Linked DNA regions of Xenopus tropicalis. Each later gene encodes a partner of the first gene's protein in a complex. Links are inferred from orthologs where the notes say so. Each region holds a gene or a part of one and is shown in the gene's direction. Other genes may lie near its edges. The genes, in order: pigq, pigc, pigy and pigp.

Region 1 (5,566 bases):
AAAGCACCCGTGACTCCTGCCTAGTGCTCTCTTTAAGCCACTTGGCTAGTCTGCTTGCTTCCTCAAGATGTCTCTCCAAAGTGCATAAATGTACCATTTGCTTGTTATTTTTCAGGAAGTCCAACACTGTCGTTTCCATTCTATTAGACATGGCCCTGGGGATTTTACTGATGTCCTGGCTGTACAGAGAGAACCGAATCAGTCAGCTGGCCGACACACTCATGCCCGTTGCTGATGTAAGTCATACACAGGGAACCTGAATTTCAACCCACAAAACCCTTGGTTCATGTTTTTGTAAGCAGCTAAGAAACATAACCTCCCATTTTGAAGGGGAAGTTTGCCTTTAAATGAACTTTTACCATGTTGTAGGCGGACTAAATTTAATTTTAAGTGTAAATCACAGTAATTCATACAAATTACTGTGAGAAGGGATGAGGGGCATTTGCACAGGCAGCAGTGACCAAATGCCCCATAAGACATATGGTTAAAACGCATCCCTCTTTAAAATAATAAAAAGTACTAATCAGGTTTTTTATTGTTAGCATGCATCCCAATTTCCTTCTGTCTCTCTTTTCCCATTAGCGTGTTGCTTTGGAGCTGCAGGGGCTGCTGCAGTGGCTTATGGGTGCTCCGGCTGGATTAAAAATGAACCGAGCTCTGGATGAAGTCTTGGGACGCTTCTTTTTGTACCATATCCACCTCTGGATCAGTAAGCTATACCCATTTCCTTCTCTCATTTTTAATTCTTTCCTTTATCCCTTTTGTTTGGTTTATAAAAACTTAAAAGCAAATCTGATAGTAATGCAAAGGCATGTGTTTGGACTTGAGCCCATTTACTTTATTAATACTACATATTTTCCTAATTGTATTCCTGCGCAGGTTACATTCGCCTGATGTCCCCATTTATCGAAGTCATCCTGTGGTACATTGGCTTGTCAGCCTGTCTGGGCTTGTCAGTTGCTCTGTCCATCCTCTCGGATATCATTGCCCTCCTTACATTTCATATATATTGTTTCTATGTTTATGGAGCTCGGTGAGTGATCAAATATTGCCTTTTAAGGCAATATTTTGTATTGAATTTGCCTTAACTAATATTCATAAAATACTACTTATCTAGGGTCTAGACCAGGGATCCCCAACCTTTTTTACTTATGAGCCACACGCAGATGTATAAAGTGTTGGGGAGCCACACAAGCATTAAAAAAAGTTCTGTGGGGATGCCAAATAAGGGCTGTCATTGGCTATTTGGTAGCCCTATGGGGACTGCTGGCCTGCAGGAGGCTCTGCTTGGAGTAAAACTATGTCTCTGTGCTTCCAAAACTTGCCTCCAAGCCAGAAATTTAAAAATGGGCACCTACTTTGGGGCCTCTGGGAGCAAAATGTTGCTTATGAGCCACTGGTTGGGGATCACTGGTCTAGAAGAACTTAACTGCCATTGTAAATATTGTAGCTAAAGGAGAATGAAAGAAATGAATACAACTTAGGGTCCCTGCAGAGGCATCATTCCCAAAGCCCACTACCCACCGTCCCCCATACCATTTTTGTCTTCCTGTCACAGGCTCTTTGGCAATGTTCACTGATTGCCTGGTCCTGACTTCAACTACAAACACATGGCAAACTCTAACCCTTCTGCTCCAATCTGCCCTTAACAATCAAGTACAGAGGAGCAGAGTTGCAATTTTGGACTGTAGATGGTGTAGCTTGGGAAGGTGGGCCTTTGCAAGAGCAACTGAGTTTTAGCTAGACTTGTCTGTACAGCATTGCGATCCCTTGTAATGCCAACCCTCTCTGGGATATGTAAAGAGGTAGTTCACCTTTAAGTTAACTTAATATGTTATAGAATGACTGATTCTATACAACTATTGTCTTTATTTTTTACTTCTTTCCAGCTTTTAAATAGAGGTCACTGACCCAGTAGCCAAAAAACTATTGGTCTGTGAGACTCCAATTTTGTTGTTATTGCTACTTTTTATTACTTCTGTTTAGCCACTCTCCTATTTATATTCCAGTTTCAGGTTGCTAGGGTAGTTTGAACACTAGCAACCAGGTAGCTGCTAAAATTCCAAACTGCTCAACCAAAAGCTAAATAATTAAAAAAAAAAGAAAAACACACACACAAAATAAAAAGTAAAGACCAATTGCAACTTGGCTCAGAATATCAAGCTATACATCATACTAAAAGTTAATTCAAAAGGTGAACCATCCCTTTAAGACAACATTATGTTTAAGTGACAGGTGTCTACGGTTATGTATACCTATTGGTTGCTTTAGGAGCTTTAGAAAAAGCAGTATCCCATAATATTTAGGGACACAATGCAGATAAAACCTTTTTGCCTGAGAATTTTGCAGCCAGGTTTGGACACCCGGTAAACTACACGAGCTGGAAGTATCTGTAACTGGCATCTAAACTACTTTTAATACCTACTGAATTGTGTATTGTAAGATTTGGAACCCTTTGTAATAGTTTCTCCATAGGTTCCGTTCCATAACCAGTTTGCATGAAGTATCGCAATGGATAGATTTGCACGCAGGCAGTGACCCATAGCAACCAATCAGTGGCTGGATTGCTGGCTGAACAGTAAAAGCAAATATTTGCTTGTCATGGGTTTCTGCCCAGCTGCAAATTCGTGCAGTGTTTATAAAAGAGCCTCACCATGTTTTTCCTTATGGTTATTATGATTACTATGATTATTGCAGTAGAAATGCTACATAGAACATCTACTTTACTTATGTATCATTATAGTGTGCTATCCCCTGTCTCTTAAATTCTGGGAGTACAAGTGATAAACTGTCCCTTCTTTTACACTAGCCTGTATTGCTTCAAGATGCACGGACTCTCTTCTCTCTGGCGTCTCTTCCGGGGCAAGAAGTGGAATGTTCTTCGCCAGCGAGTGGACTCTTGCTCTTATGATTTGGATCAGGTACCTCGGCCTGGTTGCAGCTGCCTAGGGAAAGCATACATAGTGCAGCACAGGATTATACCTCAGGCTTATCTCTGCTCTTTTCTATTGCAGCTTTTTCTTGGGACCTTGCTCTTTACAATCCTGCTGTTTCTCCTGCCAACCACAGCCCTGTATTACCTGGTATTTACTCTGGTACGTGTTTATCTAAAACCTAAACATATTGAACCTAAAAATAACATTTCACATTGATGCAATAGCTAAATAAATAATAGACATCTAATTTGTGGTTTTAGGACTGATTACATGGACATAGACTCATAGATACACTTGCCAGTGGTGTGTGCCCAGAGCCAAATGGCAAATATTAACTTGAGTAACCATCAAAGAAATTTGATGTTTGCTAAATTTGCCCCTTTGTTTTTTTGGAAGCCCAGGCATCAAACTTTATGTGATATAATATTCGCTGAAGAACAGAGCCAATTACATTGAATCTTAAAGAAATACTGTCATGGGAAAACATGTTTTTTTCAAAACGCATCAGTTAATAGAGCTTCTCTAGCAAAATCCTGCATTGTAATCTGTTTTTCAAAAACACAAACTTTTTTATATTTAATTTTGAAATGTCACATGGGGCTAGCCATATTCTTCATTTCCCAGGGTGCCACTGCCTTGTGACCTGTGCTCTGCTTCAGCCACACTTTACTGCTGAACTGCAGGTTGGAGTGATATCCCCCCCAGTAGGCGATCAGCAGAACAATGGGAAGGGAGCAAGATAGCAGCTCCCAGTAGGTATCAGAATAGCACTCAATAGTAAGAAATCCAAGTCCAGCTTGGGACTCCTCCAGTTACATGGGAGTAGGAGAAACAATAGGTTAGCTGAAAGCAGTTCTAAGGGCTCTGGCACACGGGGAGATTAGTCGCCCGCGACAAATCTTCCTTGTCACGGGCGACTAATCTGCCCGAACTACCATCCCACCAGCGAAAATGCAAGTCGCAGGTGGGATGGAACACACTGCGCAGGCGATTTCAGCAAATCGCCGAAGTTGCCTCGCGAGGCAATTTCGACTTACATCTCCCCGTGTGCCAGAGCCCTAATGTGTAGCGCAGGCTTCTTCTGAAAGCTCAGACTCAGGCACAATGCACTGAGATGGCACCTACACACCAATATTACAGCTAAAATAAATACATTTGTTGGTTCAAGAATAAAATTTTAAATGGTAGAGTGAAAATCATGACAGAATCACTTTTAGGCTAGTGTCACAGAATCACTTTTAGGCTAGTGTCACAGCCTGCAGAAAAATCCAGGCTGAGAATCAGCCCCTATGCTGGCACCAGACTCCATGCCTGCACCCGGAAGCATTGTGTTCACCTGAGTGCAGACAGATGTGGTGAATACCAGCCAAAAACGCAAGAGTTTGCATTTCACAGCCAATATCCACAGTGTCTGCTTGCACTTGGACAATACTTCCGGGTGCAGGCAAGGTAGGAGGCTGAATCAGCCCTGTGTGGCACTAACCCTAAGAATAAATGGAATACAGTGCTGGAACAAAGGGGAAATCATACTATAAATTATTATTGGAATGGAACATCTTGGTATGTCAAGTAATCTGGTAGGACCTCTTTCATCTTTTTATTTTACTTGTCTTGGACAGCTACGTCTGCTTGTGGTCCTGGTTCAGGGTGTCATCCATTTGATTGTAGATCTGCTGAACACTCTCCCACTTTATGCTATGGTCTTGCGCCTCTGCAGGTCGTACAGGTTGGCAGGTGAGCAGCTTTTGTATAATAACTCTTTGATGCAAACCCTGCTGTTTATGCTGCTCAGATTGTAGCATGTAACTGAAAAAAGCCAGGAAATGTGTATGGGGCTTCCCTCGGGCTGGCTGCACATTGCTAAAACTGAAGAGGGAACATAGAGGAATATGAAGAGTGGTGCTTCACTGGAGATGCTGGCTGCCTGTTAAAAGAACTCACCTCTCATTATGAGCTGCTGAGCCAGCAGGCAGTTATTAGCAGCATAAAACTTTAAAACACATGTTCACCAATAGTCTGTTTCCTAATGGTCAGGCCTGATCTGTATTGTAAAGGTATTGTATTGTAAAGGTGGCCATACACTGTAAAATCTGCTCACTTGGTGAGGTTGTCAAGCAAGCAGATCTTCTCCCGATATACCTACCTATGTCGGTCAAGGAGGCCCGTCATTGGTGCCCATACACTGGCAGATAAGCTGCCAAATCAGTCTAAAGGACCAATATTGCCAGCTGAAATTGTCCCATGTATGCATCTTCCCCACAAATTTCAAACACATGCTTGGCTCATTCATTATCTGTTTTTTTTTTTTAAGCTGGTGTAAAATTCCGTATGCTGGAACAACAGACTGGGAAGCCCCTTCGACTGCTTATGCAGGTAATGCCAACTCTGTTTTACATTCAAAAGGGGCAGCTTCTTTTAGTAAGGTAACATAGTAACATAGTAACATAGTAAGTTGGGTTGAAAAAAGACATACGTCCATCAAGTTCAACCATAATGCCTATACCTAACCTACCTAACTACAAGTTGATCCAGAGGAAGGCAAAAAACCCCATCTGAAACTTCTCTAATTTGCCTCAGAGGGGAAAAAATTCCTTCCTGACTCCAAGATGGCAATCGGACCAGTCCCTGGA
Region 2 (6,147 bases), on another chromosome or scaffold:
TTTCTTTTTTTTCCAATAAACAGATTCTGATTTGTTTGTATAGATAATTTTGCAATAAAGGTGAAATACATTCTGCCATTTTGCAGGCTGTAGACTTTTTATTTTCAGTGTACAATTAAAATCAAAACAATATTTTATAACCGATAATCCCAAACAATATATTTGTACTATGGATATCAAGTTTGTTGATCAGGCTGGTTTGGAAATGTAATCAGCCAATCCCATCATGTCAGTCAGTGTATGGTACAGCAGCAGATGAGGAAAAGAAGGTCCTCCTTCTGACCCAAACAAGCAGAACAATAGAAAGATGGCCCCTCATATGGTATACATCCGTTTGCCCCCACAGGTTAGCTGGTCAAATACCATACATTGTCAAGCTTAACTCTTTATTTAACTTTATTATGCTCAGCCCTTACATTACTATGGCAAAACAGTTGTTGATAATCCCTGACAGCAGCTGTCCCAAATACTATGGGGTCAAAAGAGACAACCAACAAAAACCTGTTTTTGTAAAAAAAAAAAAGTAATTCTAAACATTTTTCAATTATTCACTATTGACTATTGGTAAATGTAACTGAAAAAAAGTATTTGATTATCATTTTCTGTTCTTTGCACTTTCTTCTGATTTTGACTTTTGAAACAATGTAACAGAAATCACTTCTAATCCAGGTCTTTTAAACAGCTGCCTTTGATACATAGTTTCAGGAGTCACAGTTCGAAGTAGTGGATATATGGAGCCATGCACATCCTGCTTTGAATTGCAATTACATTTGCAAATAAACCTAAAAACACTGAAAAGTTTCAATTAATGTATATTAGAAAGTTTTTTTCCCATTAGTCAATATATGAATTTGCCAACCCCGGCATCCCTTAAAATGATACCAACTGCTGCATTCATAATCACATTCCCTGAAACTAAATACAACAGAATGCTGTCAATCTGACTCAGCAGCAGTTCCAACTTCTATCTATGACAGTGTAGGCATTCCCTAGTGAATAAAAATCTAAATCAAAATAATTATATTAAATGCAAATAAGACTTTAATATAAAAGATACAGGATATTCCAGGTCTGGGAAAACCAATGAGACCCAATTCTGGTTCCCCCAGCATAACTATAAACAGAAGTCTTTCATAATCATAGGCAGTCAGAAATATAATGAGCAAATGTAAAGATATTCAAAATAATTTTTTTATCACAGCCCATAGGAAGATACATTACAACAAATGAACATGGGGCAATAACAAGCAGCTTGTGACCCACAATTTGCAGATCTTCCAATTATAACACACAGCTGTCATTTAGGGAAAGTCCTACAGAAACTATTTCTGATGGTATCTCTCAGCTAAACATGTTGCTGGACTATGCTTTCAAGCTCTGCCAAAATAAAAGCCAAGAGGTATTCTCTGTGTACTAACGAAAGGAAAAGTTTTCTTAGCTAGCCAGTTATTATTTAAGGGGCAAAACGGTTTTGGCATAATGAAAGAAAGTAGAACTCTAAGCAATCTTTGACATGCATGCTGCTACATTGTTTCAGGAGTCACAGCCAGCAGTGCAGAGAATATAAGCAGCAGGGCAGCTACAACTTTCAGCCAGCAATTACATTTAGAAATAGCTTAAAAATCACTGAGTGTTTTAAATCAATGTATACTGTAAAGCTGCTGGGAATTACAATTTCATTATACATTTTAGGAGAAGATTCCATTTAATTCATCCATATGAACATGAAGAAAAAGTGAAATTATTGTTGGTGTAATGGCATAGTGTTACATTTATACTAAGACCAGGACTCCTAGGACACTGCTTTTCACACAATGATGGGAGACCCCCCCCCCCCTTCATTCAGGGTACATGACAGCGAGACTACCTGTCAGCGAGTAACAGCAATGTGGGCATTTACGCTCCAACAGACAGGCGCAGGGCCCTAAGCACTCACCATGAGCCAACCAGAAAGAGGCAGAATATAATAAACACCCGTTTCGTCATCTTTCCCGGACGTATTTTCTCATCCTCGCTGGCATTTCCCGTGTACTTTAATGAGCACTAGTCGTACAAGCCACCATTGAAAATGTCCCCGTTGGTGTATGGCGCCGGGGAGAGCCGTGCCACTGTTTCCCCTACTTCCCCTTCGTAAAAGCACTGCCCACACCACGCTACAATCCTCCAACGCGGCCGATCCCCTGCGAATGCCTCCAACTGCACAGCCAGCTTAGGCGGAAGGAGACGCGTCACTCCGGCCGAGGTTAGCGAATCAGACGTAGCCTTTACAACCCTCCCCCTTCAAATGCATTGGTTTGGTCCAGAAAGGATGCCTCAGCTCTTTTGAACAACAAGGCCTCTGTAATGGACTGGGGGCGGAGACTCGTGTTAAGCGAATTGGAATCAAGGCGCCCCTGGCAACTATTGTGGCCTTTCCTGTTTCTAGTGAAAGGGTTCTGACAGCCAATAGCATTTCAAGATACGACCGCTCTTGATTGGCTGCTCAGCCAAAGGTTGCAAGGGGCTGGAGAAACGCGGAAGCCTGGCTTTAGGAAATCAGGTACCCACTTACTGGCAGCTTTCTTTTGAGTTGGTAGCTACCCACAGGGTCTCTCCATTGTTTTTCCCTACATTGTAACCTGCCTACTGTCACTGCGGTTTGCTATACATTTCATTTTGTTTGTTGCGACAATATTAGCCTTGACATATGGGGTGGGGGGAATATGGCTAGTGCTTCTCTGCGTAGGTGTCCGCACAGAACGGCAGAAAGTAGGTTCCATAAGTCAAAGGCTTGCTACTGTAGTGTGCGGAAAAAAGTACAAAATTGTAGTTTGCAACAGCCCTGCACTTTGTAAGTGAGCTCTTGAATATGTAACTGCTGCCTCCTTTATATACTGTCTCTTAAGTTGCCAGTTGGTAGTCTTGCTCCTTCTCTCTCTCTCTCATCTATATATATATATATATATATATATATATATATATTACAGTCCACAAAATTTTCAGCACACCAAACCCCTAATATAAATCACCTGGGTGCTACCTCCATGTGTCTAATTATCCAAAAATTGGGTGCACACCAGGATATTTTTTAAAGATTAAAACGTTACTTTTATTTAAACATGCTGTTAAAACAGGCCAACGTTTCGGTCTCCTCCTAAGACCATTATCATTATCAAGGGTCTTGGAGCCGGGTTGGAGCTGCAGAGTGCCATTGAGCCCTATGGGAGACTTTCCTTGGGCCAGGTTGGAGCTGCAGAGTGCCATTGAGCCCTATGGGAGACTTTCCTTGGGCCAGGTTGGAGCTGCAGAGTGCCATTGAGCCCTATGGGAGACTTCCCTTGGGCCGGGTTGGAGCTGCAGAGTGCCATTGAGTCCTATGGGAGGCTTCCAAAATCATGCTAAGTCTGAAAGTTTTGCCCGCAGTTTACGAGCGCTCAATACGAAAAAGTCGCGACAAGATACGAGCAAATCGTAACGGCTACGAAAAAGTCGCGACAATTCGTGCAAGTCGTAATGGTTACGAAAAAGTCGCGATAATTTACGAAAAGTCGTAACGGCGACGAAAAAATCGCAAAATGTTCGTTTTCCAATCTGAATTTTTCCCCTTCGGATTCATGGGTTAGTAAATCAGCCCCTATGTTTGAGGCAAGGCTAAAATTTAGCAGTTGCCTTTCATTAGATGGAATTATCCAAGTTACTGTGTAATAGGCAGGTTAATACATTCCTTAGGTCTGTTGTTTTAATGAAGAAACCGTTAAGAAAAAAATAAGAAAAGGAAACCAGTTTCATTTTAGCACTTCCTGTTCCACTAAGAAGCTCCTGTTCAAACCCTGCACCTTAGGGAAGGGAGGGGATTGTATATTTGTTTGAAGGTAAATAAGGATCTCTGAACAAATTGCCCTGTCTATAAAGGAGGGGCTTTTCAAACAGTGCTTTATAATGGAAAAAAATTAGGAGTATATGGCAAAATACATTTTAAAGCAAAACTATACCTCCAGAATGAATACTTAACCAACAGATAGTTTATATTATGTTAATAATATGGGCAGAACTCTGCCCAATAATTGGCTGATGTGGCCTAGCATGTATGTGTGCCTTGGCTTGTTTGTGTGCACCGTTAATACTATGATCCAAGGAGGCGGCCATTACTTCTTAAAATGGTAATTTTCTATTTAGCAGTACCCAATAGCACATATTGCTAAAAAAAAGTATATTTTTATGAAAATGGTTTATTTAGATGAAGCAGGGTTTTACATATGAGTTGTTTTATGCAATATATTTTTATAGAGACCTACATTGTTTGTGGGTATAGTTTTCCTTTAAGCATAAGTTGTTTTTTTTTTTTGTTTTTTTTATTGTGCTCATTTTTTGCCAATGTGTTTTAGACATATATTTTCCTTTTTAAATCTGTGTTTGTCCCTTGAATCTTTTACACTTGAAAAAGACCCTCTGTTTGGTCAGAACAACCCATGTTACTTAATGGATTTGCAGTGTAGTTCCGGCAATGTATATGCATGCTTCCTCCGCAGAAGAATTGTACTGTATATGTCAATGTCAAATGTGTGAACCAACACCTGGTTTCTTCCTACAAAAATTTGATAAGCTGCAGTCCAGAGCAAGATAGTTATTTATTCCCATTAACAAAGGTGCCCGGAATAGTGCCCAGACTAATTATACCACATGGCAAACCTAAAGAAGTCACTTACAATAAATTGTTTACTTTTGAGCTTCATCTGACTGATTTTTTTTTTTTTTTTTTACATTATAAAGAGTCTGAAGTTTTCATAAAGATTAAATTGTATTCTACTTTTCCATTTCGTTATAAAATAAATGTGCCTACTAACATTTAGCAAAATGTCTCTTGATTACTGTTTAGCCTGCTTTGTTTATTAAGTACATAGAACATAACTACCTTTGAAAAAAGCTCAGTGCAACGTGGCAGTGCTGTTATCAGGTGGAGGATTAAAAACACAGGTCATTTTGATCTGCAAATAGAATATTTCCAGGTCAGTAAATCTCTGCCACTACCCCCTGCCTGTCTCACACCAGAGTAAACACAATTCAGAAGAGAAACATATTCCATGAAGCTGTTAAAGCATATGCATTTTGCTCATGGTATTATAAAGGTAGCGTAGGACATTGCTTCTTTTATTTTTACCATATCTTTTGTGTGATCAGAAGAAAGAAATTCCACATTTTCTGTGTTGATTTTCTCTAATATTAGGAGTTAGTTTGACTTTTGTCATTGTGAGATAATGGGATTTCAAATTGGGTAATTTAAATTGCTGACTGTTGCTTTGGGTGACCACACTTGTGCAGATTTGCCCATTGTTATTCAGTGAGCCGGAATTGCACATAGCGCATATTCCACTTCACATAAAAATGTTACATCTTATTATACCAAGTTCTTCTACATGTTAATTCATGAAACTAGCTTTTGTACAAGAAATAGAACAGAGGCTTATAATCTGTTTGCTTGCAGCAGAATTATTTTAGGGCACCCTAAACCTCTTGAGCCCCACAGCTTACAAATGCTGTAGTCAAAAGCACTTCCTATTGGCCCACACTTTGTTGCCTTTATTATTGTCTGAAGCACAATTGCAGTTGCAGCAAAATGTGGCATCACTGCAGTGTGAAGGCTTCTATAAGTACACTCCAGTTTTAAGATGGCCATACATGATCAAATTTTAGTCTTCTTCCAGTGAACATTCGGATATGCATTGTATGTTTAAATGCAACGATCTAAAACTAAAATTCAGACTAAAATTGTAGGATAAAGCCATTGGACAATGTTTTGTATGTGGGAAAGTTGGCTAATCGTATGAAAGTAACTTTCTGGGAATGCATTTTAGGTCCCCCAAGGACACAGATGCACAGATTTTATCTTCATCCAACTTAAATTTTCTAACCTGTCCGATCGACTAAATTACTGATTGCTATGGTATGAAAATTATCAGGACACTAATTCGTAGCCCACACACGGTTTGAAAACCATACGAAAATGCAATGTATGGCTAGCTTAAGATGGGAGCATGTCAGCCTTTGTTTATTTGGAGTGAAAATAATGTACATTTGGCCAATGTAGTAAACAGGATCTATGTAGCTATCAGGTAGTTTATCCATAGATGAATATTGAATCAAGTTCATGACTAAAGTATCCATCTGACT
Region 3 (5,994 bases), on another chromosome or scaffold:
GGAAGACTGGAGAAAAACCCGATTGGCTGGGAGCCCCAGTGCACTTATGGAAGAAAAGGAGGATCCAGAGAGTACCTGGCTTTGGAGCCAAAACCAAGGGTGGGGTTGGCAGGTTTTTAAAGGGCCCCTGCTGCAGTGCCAGCCATAGAGAACCCGATCCAGAGGAACAGAGAGCAGCAGACAGGTGATTGCACTGCCAGTAACCAGAAAGGTTACAGAGTGCTCAGCTGGTTTTTGAGCTCCAGCCTAAATGGAGAGAGCATTCTGCATCTTGTTAAACTGCCAGTGGGTTTCTGTTGTTATCCTTGTATGTTCCCTGTGTGAGGGCAGGTGTTGATCGAGTGCCTGCAATGTGGAGCAACTGCCTATCCAAAGGGAGTGGTACTTTGGGGCAGGTAGCACTACAGGGGAAACTAAAGAACTCTTGGGGAAGGGACTTTGCCAGAGACTGAACTGGGAAAGGGTATTTCCACCAGGAAAGAAGTGTGGGACTGTGTCCTAGGAGAGACTGTGCCAAAAGTTTAGTTAAAATGCATGTTAAATGAAACATGCATTTCCCAAAGCAGGGTCATATTATTTGCCTTTTACAGTGATTACATTTTTCTAAATTGCTATATAAAGTTTATCTTTTCTGCAAACTGTGTGTGATTTATTTTTCTAGTGGAATCCCCCTGAGGTGTGCTCCTCAGTGACCACTAGGTGGAGGCACTGCACTGTAAAACCCAGTTCCCAGAAGTGAGTGTAATCCAATTTCTGCAGAAGTGTGCCAAAAATAGGTTACAGGGGAAAAATGAGAGGATGATAGGTGCACTTTAAAGCTTATTTCCTTTTAAATGGAATTTGGTTCAAGCTACAGACTTAAGCCCTACCTCCCGTTTTGCTGCCCCAAAAGCTTGCTAGCCCTAGCCTCCCATATGTTTGTGCCTGAAACTGTTTCCCTATTTAAGGGGTAGCTTAATTAAATAGAAAAGTCATTCCTGAAAAATCCCTTGCTAGTTACTGGCTTTTACTAATGAGGGACATTTAACAATGAGGTGCTCAAAAGACTTCTGCCCTTTTAGATCAGATTCTGTTCAGGCTACAGACTCTGACCTTATCTCCCAATTTGCTGACAAGTAGCTTGCTGGCCCTATCCTCCCCTTAGTCTGTGCATATAACTGCGTTACTATTCTTTCTTGGGATAGCTTGAGTTGAAGGAAAAATATTAGTGCAGGACCAAAACAGCTCCCTAGTGTTCTGTTAATTCAACCACATCGGATTGTCCTAACCAAATAGGTCCCTAAACTCCACCTAACCCAGAAAACAGTCAAGCCACCCAGGGCGCGCTGGCTTTCTATTAGGGATGCACCGAATGCACTTTTTTTTTAGCATATGCTAATTAGGATACGGAAGGGTTAAATTTCTAACTTCCGTGTTTATGTGACAAAAAGTCACGTGATTTTTAAGATTCGGATTCAGTTCTGCCAGGAGCCGAAAAAAGCATAATCTTGGCCAAATCCTGGATTCGGTGCGTCCCTACTTTCTATCCACTACCTGACATATAATGAATAGAGTTGCCTCCCAGCAGTTATTTTACAGGCCTGACCAATAAAACTGAAATTTGATTCCAACAGTACTAATAGACAAGATAGCTACCAACAAGAGAAGGAATGGTATTTTTTGTAGAAAAGGTGGCAACACTAACAGTAATTCACCAGCTTCTCTATGCACACTCATGACAACCAGCTCCCCTAATGATCAAATACCCCTTGCAGCCGGTTAGCCTGCTGCCATGTTGTTTTAATTACTGCTGGCTTAGAACAAACTGGCCATACACACATCAATAAAATCATACAAAACCTAGTCTCAAACAATTTTTGGACCGTGTGTGGTCTCAGAATAATCGCCCCCAAAGTTTGTCAGAAGAAGAACTGAACTTGTATGGAAAATAAGGAAGATAAGATCCAGCCACAGCAATGTAAAATGTCCCTGTGCACAGGAAATTGCAGCAGACAGAACAATCTTTATCTAGTGTCCATTTTAAGATATCTGTGTGTGTTCAACTCCCTCCCCACCACAGAAGCCCCCCCCCAGCTCCCTACCTGTCACATACCCCATCCGACTAGCTCCATACTCCCCCTGACTTCCTCCCTGTTTTATCCATGCTGTAGCTTTCTACCTTGTCTACTCCCTACTCTGTGATTCTTTGTGCTGCAGCATTCTATACTACCCGCAACCTGTTCAGTGCAGTATCAGACTGGGCTGCTGGGGTACTGGGAAAAAAACCTGTTGGTCCCCGGCGGGCCAGATCCCCTCCCCCAGGGCTCTCCCGCGATCCACCGTCACCCTCCCCCAACATACCGCAGGTAAGTTTCTTTTAGAAGCATGGTCGGAGGGTGTTTGGGGCCTCTGCAGGGGTTGGGGGGGGCTGGGGTTCCTGAGGCAGAAGCCCCAGTGAGCCCTGCACCCCCCAGCCCGACCCTGTTTCTGTGTCCTATAGGGTTCTCAATTTATTGCCCATGAACCTTTTCAATGATCTATATATATGCTGTGCCTTTCCAGCTTTCATTTGTATTTTGCCTGACGAAGGGGCCTGGGTGCTTCAACACAGGGTCAGACTGCGGAGTGAAGGGCCCACTGGGGCTCCCGCCCCAGGGGCCTTGTAGGTGCCCGTGCAGGGCCCCCCACCTGACATCCTCCCCCGAGCGTGTAAATTTAACACGTCAGGGGAGGAGCACTCGGGCAGGGGGAGCATCGGCAAGGGTCGGGTCTGGGCCGCCAGGGCCCACTTTTCCCGGTGTCCCAGCGGCCCAGTCCGACCCTGCTTGGACAGCTTGCAATTTTTCTTACTCAGCCAATAAAAGGTATCAGATTTTCTGCATTGTTTTTAATGGCTAACACAGTACAACATCTTAATTCCATAGGATTCCACAGTGAACAAAGCTTTTTGCTTTTAACAGGAATACTGTTACTGTATTCCTGTTTACCTATAACTTATTTTGAGCACTGTTAGAAATTAAATTGCTACCACCTGTCAGGCAATGTGGGCTGGTACCTGGTTTAACACAAATACAGAAGGAAAAATCGCCTGGCAGTGAATGGGTTACATATCTGTGATCGCAGGAATCAAAGGGCAAACCAGATTCAAGCAATAATATCAAGTAAAGGTAGTTTAACATTACAGAAAGACTTTAATCACAACTCTTTCAGATATATTTTGAGGGTTTTGCAGGCTGTGGGTTTATATAGTTACATGCACATGGTAGGAACCACTGAGACTGCTTTGTGTCGTGTGAGGGGCTGTTTATAGTGCTGCACAGGAAGAAGGGGTGGAATCGTTCCTGGGAAGTAAAGGTTGTGTGTCAGTCAGTTTCTGTGCAGAAAGTGGAACATGCTGGCTGTCAGGGCATGGGGAAGAACATATAATACCTTAGTCCAGCGGAAACTAAACGCTGCCTGTCCCACTGGCGCCCTGCCAGCTGTCACACTGCGGCCCTTGCACTGCTCTTTAGTTGCCAGATCCCCGGAACAGAGCCTGAAGGACAGCAAGACGTTTGATCCTACCCTCTTGCAATTCCTGGTCTGCCCTCTCTCAAGGAAATCGCTGAGGTAAAATACCTGGCACTGGGTTAAAGGGCTCTGATACAGTCAGTATACTGCTGCTGGGTGGGGGGGTCATTAAGATCACCTATGATCCTAAGCATTGCTTCCCCCCAGAGGTGCGGGCTACAATACAAGGATACTGCCCCCTGCAGTGCTGGGCTGCCCCTAGTTTGAGCAAAGTGTCCCATCAGACTTGGGTTTCTCTGACTTAAAGTTATAGCCACGTATTGTTCTATTTATAATTTCTAATTAATTACCCTTTAGAAAGACTATATTGATATTAACCATTAGCCAAATGTTAGGGCTTATATTGAAAATATCGCTGCTTATTTTTATTGAAAGGGGAACTACAGTTTATGAACCAAAATTTGTTAAAGAGCCCAACACAGAAACCCCTAATATACCTAGCACTGTAAACTGTTTCTTTCTGCTAAACCTTCTAACCTTCTTTCTGCATTATTTAAAATCCTGGGAAGAGGATTAAAGAAGAGGGACTAAAACACTGATGTTACAAATTGTAACAACTTCTCCACATCTTACAGACAGCACTCAGAAACTACATTACCCACAATGCATTGCCCAGTGATGTTATTTTCCCTATTCCTTATTATATGTGCGGGGAATTGTGGTAACTGGAGAAGGCAGGCTGAGGACAGTCTACTGCATTTTATTTGAGTCTCAAAGTAGTCAGTCAGGTCAGCAGGGGAACAGGGTGTCCCATACACCTAAGCCTGTACTCTGTATAGGGAAATATTCAGTTTATTAACAGCAAGCAGATGTCTCTTTGCTATTTCAAGCTTAACTAGAACTCCTAAATGCATTTTATATATATTATATATATATATATATATATATATATATATATATATATATATATATTGAAAAAAAGACCAGCAACACCGGATCTATTGCAAACAATCAATTATATATTGAAAAATACATGAACAGCCAACGTTACGTTTCGGTCTTGAGAAAGGTCCCGACGGGGACCGAAACGTAACGTTGGCTGTTCATGTATTTTTCAATATATAATCGATTGTTTGCAATAGATCCGGTGTTGCTGGTCTTTTTTTCAATATTTAAACTCTTTTACCGTGCACCCGGGACAAGGATTGAAGCGGTGTGCCACCCTTGGCTCGATATATATATATATATATATATATAATATTGATTATGGAATGACGCTTGTGGTTTGAAATGTACTGATTTTGGTGATCAAATTTCCCGACATTAAATATAAACGGCTGTGATTCCCCATTCATTGATCCAGATCTGATTGTTTATATGTCATTTTTTTTCCCTAGATATGAAGAATCTACCAATGAGTTAATTAATGACGAGCTGGGTATAGCTTACCCAATTGTTGATGGCATCCCAAATATGATACCACAGGATGCCCGCATGATTCATAAAGATCAGAAGCCTGAGAGCCCAGACACAGAGCAGACAACATAGTTTTTTGGATTTGTTCCTGCAAACAATAAAGAAGCCATGTTTTTCTCCCTCCCTGTGCTGACTGTGCTCATTCCTCTGGTGTCTTTGACAGGGTTATTATACTCTGCCTCAGTGGAAGAGGATTTCCCAAATGGATGCACCAGTACAGCAAGCTTGTGTTTTTACAGCCTTCTGCTTCCCATCACTTTGCCTGTCTATGTGTTTTTTCATTTGTGGACTTGGATGGGACTCAAGCTCTTTAGGCACAATTAATGCATAAATGAACAGAAAATATCTCATTCATCCTTCTGCTTTCAGATAAGATATGGAGAACATGTTTTCAGATTGGTCGGTTACAGCTTTGCATAGAAATATTAACATTTAATAGAAATAAAATGAATGTAATTGTTTTGATTTTTGTACTTTCCTTTCTATTTGAGCTCCTTTAAAGACTCTATTCCTAAAGGTACACTTACCTGGGTGCTGCCCCATTTGTAAGTTAATAGGAGCTGCTCTCTGGCAGCTTATGTGCTTAACAATAAAATTGAAAGCAAAAAATGCATCCTAGTTACTGATGCAATAATTGTCGGAGTGTGGGGTGCAGGGCTCACCGGGGCTGCCGCACGTGTAAATTAAAATTACTTTTAGCACGTTGGGGAAGGGAGATCTGGGGCCCAGTCCTACCCTGCTTGCTTTCTTTAAAGTCATTTAAAATCGTCATTCCAAGTCCCTTTTCTATATTATTATTGACAGTAATGAAGTGCTGGCTGCTGGGGTCAGTGACTTCCATTTGAAAGCTGAAAAGAGACTGAGGAGAAAAGCAAATAATTCAGAAACTATAAAGAAATGAATGCCAGTTCTATAACATACTAAAAGTTAACCTAAAGGTGAACCACCCCTTTTATGCCTTAGTTTATACATTCAGTATATACATCCATGCAGGCCCTTCTGGGAGAACATGAGGTTTCATCAAGTAGT
Region 4 (4,732 bases), on another chromosome or scaffold:
TGTCTGGCATTTCAGTTTCTTTTACAAATTGTGTTTATAGATATTGGGCTGTGGCAGTGCCCGTCTACCTCCTCGTTGTGTTCGGCATCGCCTATATCTTTCTGTTTGGTATAAACATGATGAGCACTGCTCCCCTAGACTCCATACACACTGTAACAGGTAAGTGGGACTCTGGCTACAGTATATAGAATCTAGTGTATATGTGTGTGTGTGTGTATATATATATATATATATATATATATATATATATACAGTGGTGTGAAAAACTATTTGCCCCCTTCCTGATTTCTTATTCTTTTGCATGTTTGTCACACAAAATGTTTCTGATCATCAAACACATTTAACTATTAGTCAAAGATAACACAAGTAAACACAAAATGCAGTTTTTAAATGAGGGTTTTTATTATTTAGGGAGAAAAAAAATCCAAACCTACATGGCCCTGTGTGAAAAAGTAATTGCCCCCTGAACCTAATAACTGGTTGGGCCACCCTTAGCAGCAATAACTGCAATCAAGCGTTTGCGATAACTTGCAACAAGTATTTTACAGCGCTCTGGAGGAATTTTGGCCCACTCATCTTTGCAGAATTGTTGTAATTCAGCTTTATTTGAGGGTTTTCTAGCATGAACCGCCTTTTTAAGGTCATGCCACAACATCTCAATAGGATTCAGGTCAGGACTTTGACTAGGCCACTCCAAAGTCTTCATTTTGTTTTTCTTCAGCCATTCAGAGGTGGATTTGCTGGTGTGTTTTGGGTCATTGTCCTGCTGCAGCACCCAAGATCGCTTCAGCTTGAGTTGACGAACAGATGGCCAGACATTCTCCTTCAGGATTTTTTGGTAGACAGTAGAATTCATGGTTCCATCTATCACAGCACGCCTTCCAGGTCCTGAAGCAGCAAAACAACCCCAGACCATCACACTACCACCACCATATTTTACTGTTGGTATGATGTTCTTTTTCTGAAATGCTGTGTTACTTTTACGCCAGATGTAACGGGACACGCACCTTCCAAAAAGTTCAACTTTTGTCTCGTCGGTCCACAAGGTATTTTCCCAAAAGTCTTGGCAATCATTGAGATGTTTTTTAGCAAATTGAGACGAGCCATAATGTTCTTTTTGCTTAAAAGTGGTTTGCGCCTTGGAAATCTGCCATGCAGGCCGTTTTTGCCCAGTCTCTTTCTTATGGTGGAGTCGTGAACACTGACCTTAATTGAGGCAAGTGAGGCCTGCAGTTCTTTAGATGTTGTCCTGGGGTCTTTTGTGGCCTCTCGGATGAGTTGTCTCTGCGCTCTTGGGGTAATTTTGGTCGGCCGGCCACTCCTGGGAAGGTTCACCACTGTTCCATGTTTTTGCCATTTGTGGATAATGGCTCTCACTGTGGTTCGCTGGAGTCCCAAAGCTTTAGAAATGGTTTTATAACCTTTACCAGACTGACAGATCTCAATTACTTTTGTTCTCATTTGTTCCTGAATTTCTTTGGATCTTGGCATGATGTCTAGCTTTTGAGGTGCTTTTGGTCTACTTCTCTGTGTCAGGTAGCTCCTATTTAAGTGATTTCTTGATTGAAACAGGTGTGGCAGTAATCAGGCCTGGGGGTGACTACAGAAATTGATATTGAAATTGAAAATTGAAATTGATAAACCACAGTTAAGTTATTTTTTAACAAGGGGGGCAATCACTTTTTCACACAGGGCCATGTAGATTTGGAGTTTTTTTTCTCCCTTAATAACGTGAACCTTCATTTAAAAACTGCATTTTGTGTTCAATTATGTTATCTTTGACTAATAGTTAACGGTTTTTGATGAGCAGAAACATTTTGTGTGACAAACATGCAAAAGAATAAGAAATCAGGAAGGGGGCAAATAGTTTTTCACACCACTGTATATATATATATATATATATATTCTGTAAATAACCTCCCTTGGTGCTACATTGTCAGCCCAAGGATTGCAATGCATGCTGGGTATACAGACTGAAAGCAGCCACTAGATTGGCCAATATCCTAGTGCAGTTTATTGCAGTTATGGGCAACCTCAAGAACTCCCAGTGCCGCTCAGAGCTAATAGATGATCAGCGGTACCTGTTCTTTCAGTGCCACTGAGTGTTGTAATTTGTAAATTTTTACCACAATTTCCAGACTCTTATGCCAAAAATCAGCAAGAGAAGGCGTGCCAAGAGGATGCCATCCCAGCACTGAGGGACATTTCCATCAGCGAGGTTAATAAAATGTTCTTCCTCACTGAGAGATGATGCCGGAAGATCCTTCGGACCCACAAAACCCCATTCTTTATGATAATTCATGTAGCTATATATTTCTGGACTGTGTTTTATTTATTTATTTTTTTACTTGGGCCCCATAAACCAATGGGTGCAAGTGTTTTATTTAGAGGTGCAAATGCGCAGACTTGGAGATGTGGGAACAGCAGATTCTGCAGAGGTCTATGCTCCCAGTCACATTTATACTGTGCTGCCACTTCACTTGCTATATAAAAAAAAAAGCAGTTTACCTTGAAATTCACTTTTATTGGAATTCTAAGACAGTTTGCAATTAGTGATTATTTAATATTTGTCATTTTGAAAACCCATACAAACCATTTTTTGCTCTGCAACACTGAGGCTTGGAATTTCAGCTGCTATCTGGTTGCTAGTGCTCAATGATCTTAGCAACCAATTAGCAGTTTAAAAATCAGTATGATGGAAGATCAATAGGAGAGAGCTAGAAAAGAAAGATAAACATCTAAAAATAAGAGCAGTAAAATTAGGGTTGTTGCCTTTTCTGGAAAAACAAATGCTGGCTTTCCTAGATTTTTTATGTTTTTTTCCTATTAAAACTTTGAGCATTTTTTTTACTGGCCAGGTGGCCACCCCAAATACAATTGAACCCTCCAAATTGATTTCTTTTTCTGGTTGGTGGGGTCAGAGATGGCAAACTAGATAGGTTTCTCTGTGACAAGCTATACCAAATAACTAATAGAGACTAGTTACAAATTTGCTCAGAATGGATCCATACTGAATGCTAATATAAAGGTGGACTTTCCCTTTAAGTTTTTCCTGTATGATCAGAGAAGCTGCCGTGCCTTTTATCCCTTTCGTTATAGTATTGTCATTTGCACTGTATATACAAACATGAGGCCTGCTATTTGTATTTCAACACACTTGGTTTTATTCAAAATCCATTAAAGCAACACTGTGCTACATAGCAAACGAGAATGTTTATGATTTATATGTACATGATATTCTAAAGGGGTTTAATAACTGGGTGGGACTGGCCTGGCCAGGTACGATTCTGCACCCTGAAGCAGCCTTTCCAATGCCACCAACCATGCTTACCTTTCAGAGATTAAAAAATGGAATTTCAGGGTCCTAAAGATTCTCACCCTCAGAGGTAGGCCAAATGGTGCGGGCACCCTAGGGGGCCCCAATCCCCTCAGTGCACGCATATGTGCTTTGATAAGTGGGTGGGACATGCAGTGACAAGTGCAGGTGGGGCAAGAGAGCTCAGACTAGGTGTAGGCAGAAGAGGTACCTACCTAGTGCCCCTTACTGTTGCACCCTAGGCACGTGCCTTTTCTGCCTCCCCCTAGTTCTGGCAGTGTCCATGGGCCTGCCAGAATACCAGAAGAACCCCCAGCCGGCCCCCCACATCGGCTCATTGATGCGTTCCCTTATCCGATGGAATCTGGCCCTAGGGCCGTAAGATCAAATTAGCCTAATATCTCCCACATATCGGGAGAAGATCCGCTCGCTTGGCGACCTCACCAAACAAGCGAATCGTCCCGTGTATGGCCACCATACCTCTATGGCTCTGCGCATCAGAATCAGTGAGCAGAGAGGTGGGGTTGGCTAGCAGATGACGGCTGGGGGCTTGCCCATTGCATTTGGCCCAGCTCTGCATATAGCCATGCTGATAATTATTTCTTCAAAGATAGTTGCATACAAATGTGTCCCCAGTTACCTCTGTCATGTCCCTTAATGAGCCTGCAGGCCTTCCTGCCCCCAACTGCCACACTGTAGAATTGGCAGGGGCTGCACATCTTTATAAACCTTAATCTGACAATATAATAAGCTTGGCTATATAGTAATGCAATTAGGAGACTCCTTGCAAAGGAAAATGCAGGACTTGTGATGATATAAATACACTTTCCTCCATCAAGCCCTCTGAGTGGCCCATTGAATAAACTGTAAGTGTCTGCCTTGCTGCACTGGGGCAATGGAGTGCCCTACACATATAATGATATATATTTTACCTGTTTAATATGTGACCATTACCTTCCTAGTTTGCAAGGGTGAAACCTCTGGGAAAAACACACAAAGACCCTTGGCTGCTCTTTAGATGAAAGATCTGTAAGTCACAGTCAGATCCTATCAGTGATGAATCAGCCATTAGGGTTTCCCCTTTTTAGACAGACTGGACCAATAAAAACTCCCTATGAGAACGGCCACTTTGATTTTGAAGTCTCTGAAGGAGAGATCATTCTTCTGCTGCATTCTAAACAGTCTGTGTGGGTGATTTGTTTTTTTAAAGGGGAAGTTCACACACGCACACAAACATATATATATATTTTTTTAATATATTATACATAGACCCGAGTTTGGAGGTGAAAGGGATTGGTTTTCGGTTACCGCAAAAGGAACCCAAATCGCCGGGGAGTTGGCTGGATGCTTTAAAATGGGGATGGGCCCAGTCAGCCCAGTTGGACAGTGGTTAGAACCCAAACTGGATTAAACCAG

What was found.
Region 2: pigq (region 1) and pigc share a complex: the UniProt entries of both Homo sapiens proteins name them as parts of the glycosylphosphatidylinositol-N-acetylglucosaminyltransferase (GPI-GnT) complex. The link is inferred for Xenopus tropicalis from reciprocal best matches to the Homo sapiens genes PIGQ and PIGC.
Region 3: pigq (region 1) and pigy share a complex: the UniProt entries of both Homo sapiens proteins name them as parts of the glycosylphosphatidylinositol-N-acetylglucosaminyltransferase (GPI-GnT) complex. The link is inferred for Xenopus tropicalis from reciprocal best matches to the Homo sapiens genes PIGQ and PIGY.
Region 4: pigq (region 1) and pigp share a complex: the UniProt entries of both Homo sapiens proteins name them as parts of the glycosylphosphatidylinositol-N-acetylglucosaminyltransferase (GPI-GnT) complex. The link is inferred for Xenopus tropicalis from reciprocal best matches to the Homo sapiens genes PIGQ and PIGP.

What each region holds. Positions count from the first base shown.
Region 1 is NC_030685.2:21,238,891-21,244,456, forward strand, and holds part of pigq (phosphatidylinositol N-acetylglucosaminyltransferase subunit Q), read left to right. Parts: intron 1-115; coding exon 116-236; intron 237-582; coding exon 583-709; intron 710-879; coding exon 880-1,033; intron 1,034-2,809; coding exon 2,810-2,921; intron 2,922-3,014; coding exon 3,015-3,095; intron 3,096-4,555; coding exon 4,556-4,670; intron 4,671-5,247; coding exon 5,248-5,309; intron 5,310-5,566. UniProt on the Homo sapiens protein: Part of the glycosylphosphatidylinositol-N-acetylglucosaminyltransferase (GPI-GnT) complex that catalyzes the transfer of N-acetylglucosamine from UDP-N-acetylglucosamine to phosphatidylinositol and participates in the first step of GPI biosynthesis.
Region 2 is NC_030680.2:107,289,364-107,295,510, forward strand, and holds the start of pigc (phosphatidylinositol N-acetylglucosaminyltransferase subunit C), read left to right. Parts: upstream 1-2,513; 5' UTR 2,514-2,539; intron 2,540-6,147. Other genes in the region: suco (SUN domain-containing ossification factor), read right to left, coding at 1,937-1,986. UniProt on the Homo sapiens protein: Part of the glycosylphosphatidylinositol-N-acetylglucosaminyltransferase (GPI-GnT) complex that catalyzes the transfer of N-acetylglucosamine from UDP-N-acetylglucosamine to phosphatidylinositol and participates in the first step of GPI biosynthesis.
Region 3 is NC_030677.2:67,793,270-67,799,263, reverse strand, and holds pigy (phosphatidylinositol N-acetylglucosaminyltransferase subunit Y precursor), read left to right. Parts: upstream 1-2,147; 5' UTR 2,148-2,345; intron 2,346-3,327; exon of another isoform or gene 3,328-3,370; coding exon of another isoform or gene 3,371-3,588; intron 3,589-4,886; coding exon of another isoform or gene 4,887-5,037; 5' UTR 5,038-5,073; coding exon 5,074-5,289; 3' UTR 5,290-5,578; downstream 5,579-5,994. UniProt on the Homo sapiens protein: Part of the glycosylphosphatidylinositol-N-acetylglucosaminyltransferase (GPI-GnT) complex that catalyzes the transfer of N-acetylglucosamine from UDP-N-acetylglucosamine to phosphatidylinositol and participates in the first step of GPI biosynthesis.
Region 4 is NC_030678.2:12,649,781-12,654,512, forward strand, and holds the end of pigp (phosphatidylinositol N-acetylglucosaminyltransferase subunit P), read left to right. Parts: intron 1-40; coding exon 41-159; intron 160-2,138; coding exon 2,139-2,251; 3' UTR 2,252-3,200; downstream 3,201-4,732. UniProt on the Homo sapiens protein: Part of the glycosylphosphatidylinositol-N-acetylglucosaminyltransferase (GPI-GnT) complex that catalyzes the transfer of N-acetylglucosamine from UDP-N-acetylglucosamine to phosphatidylinositol and participates in the first step of GPI biosynthesis.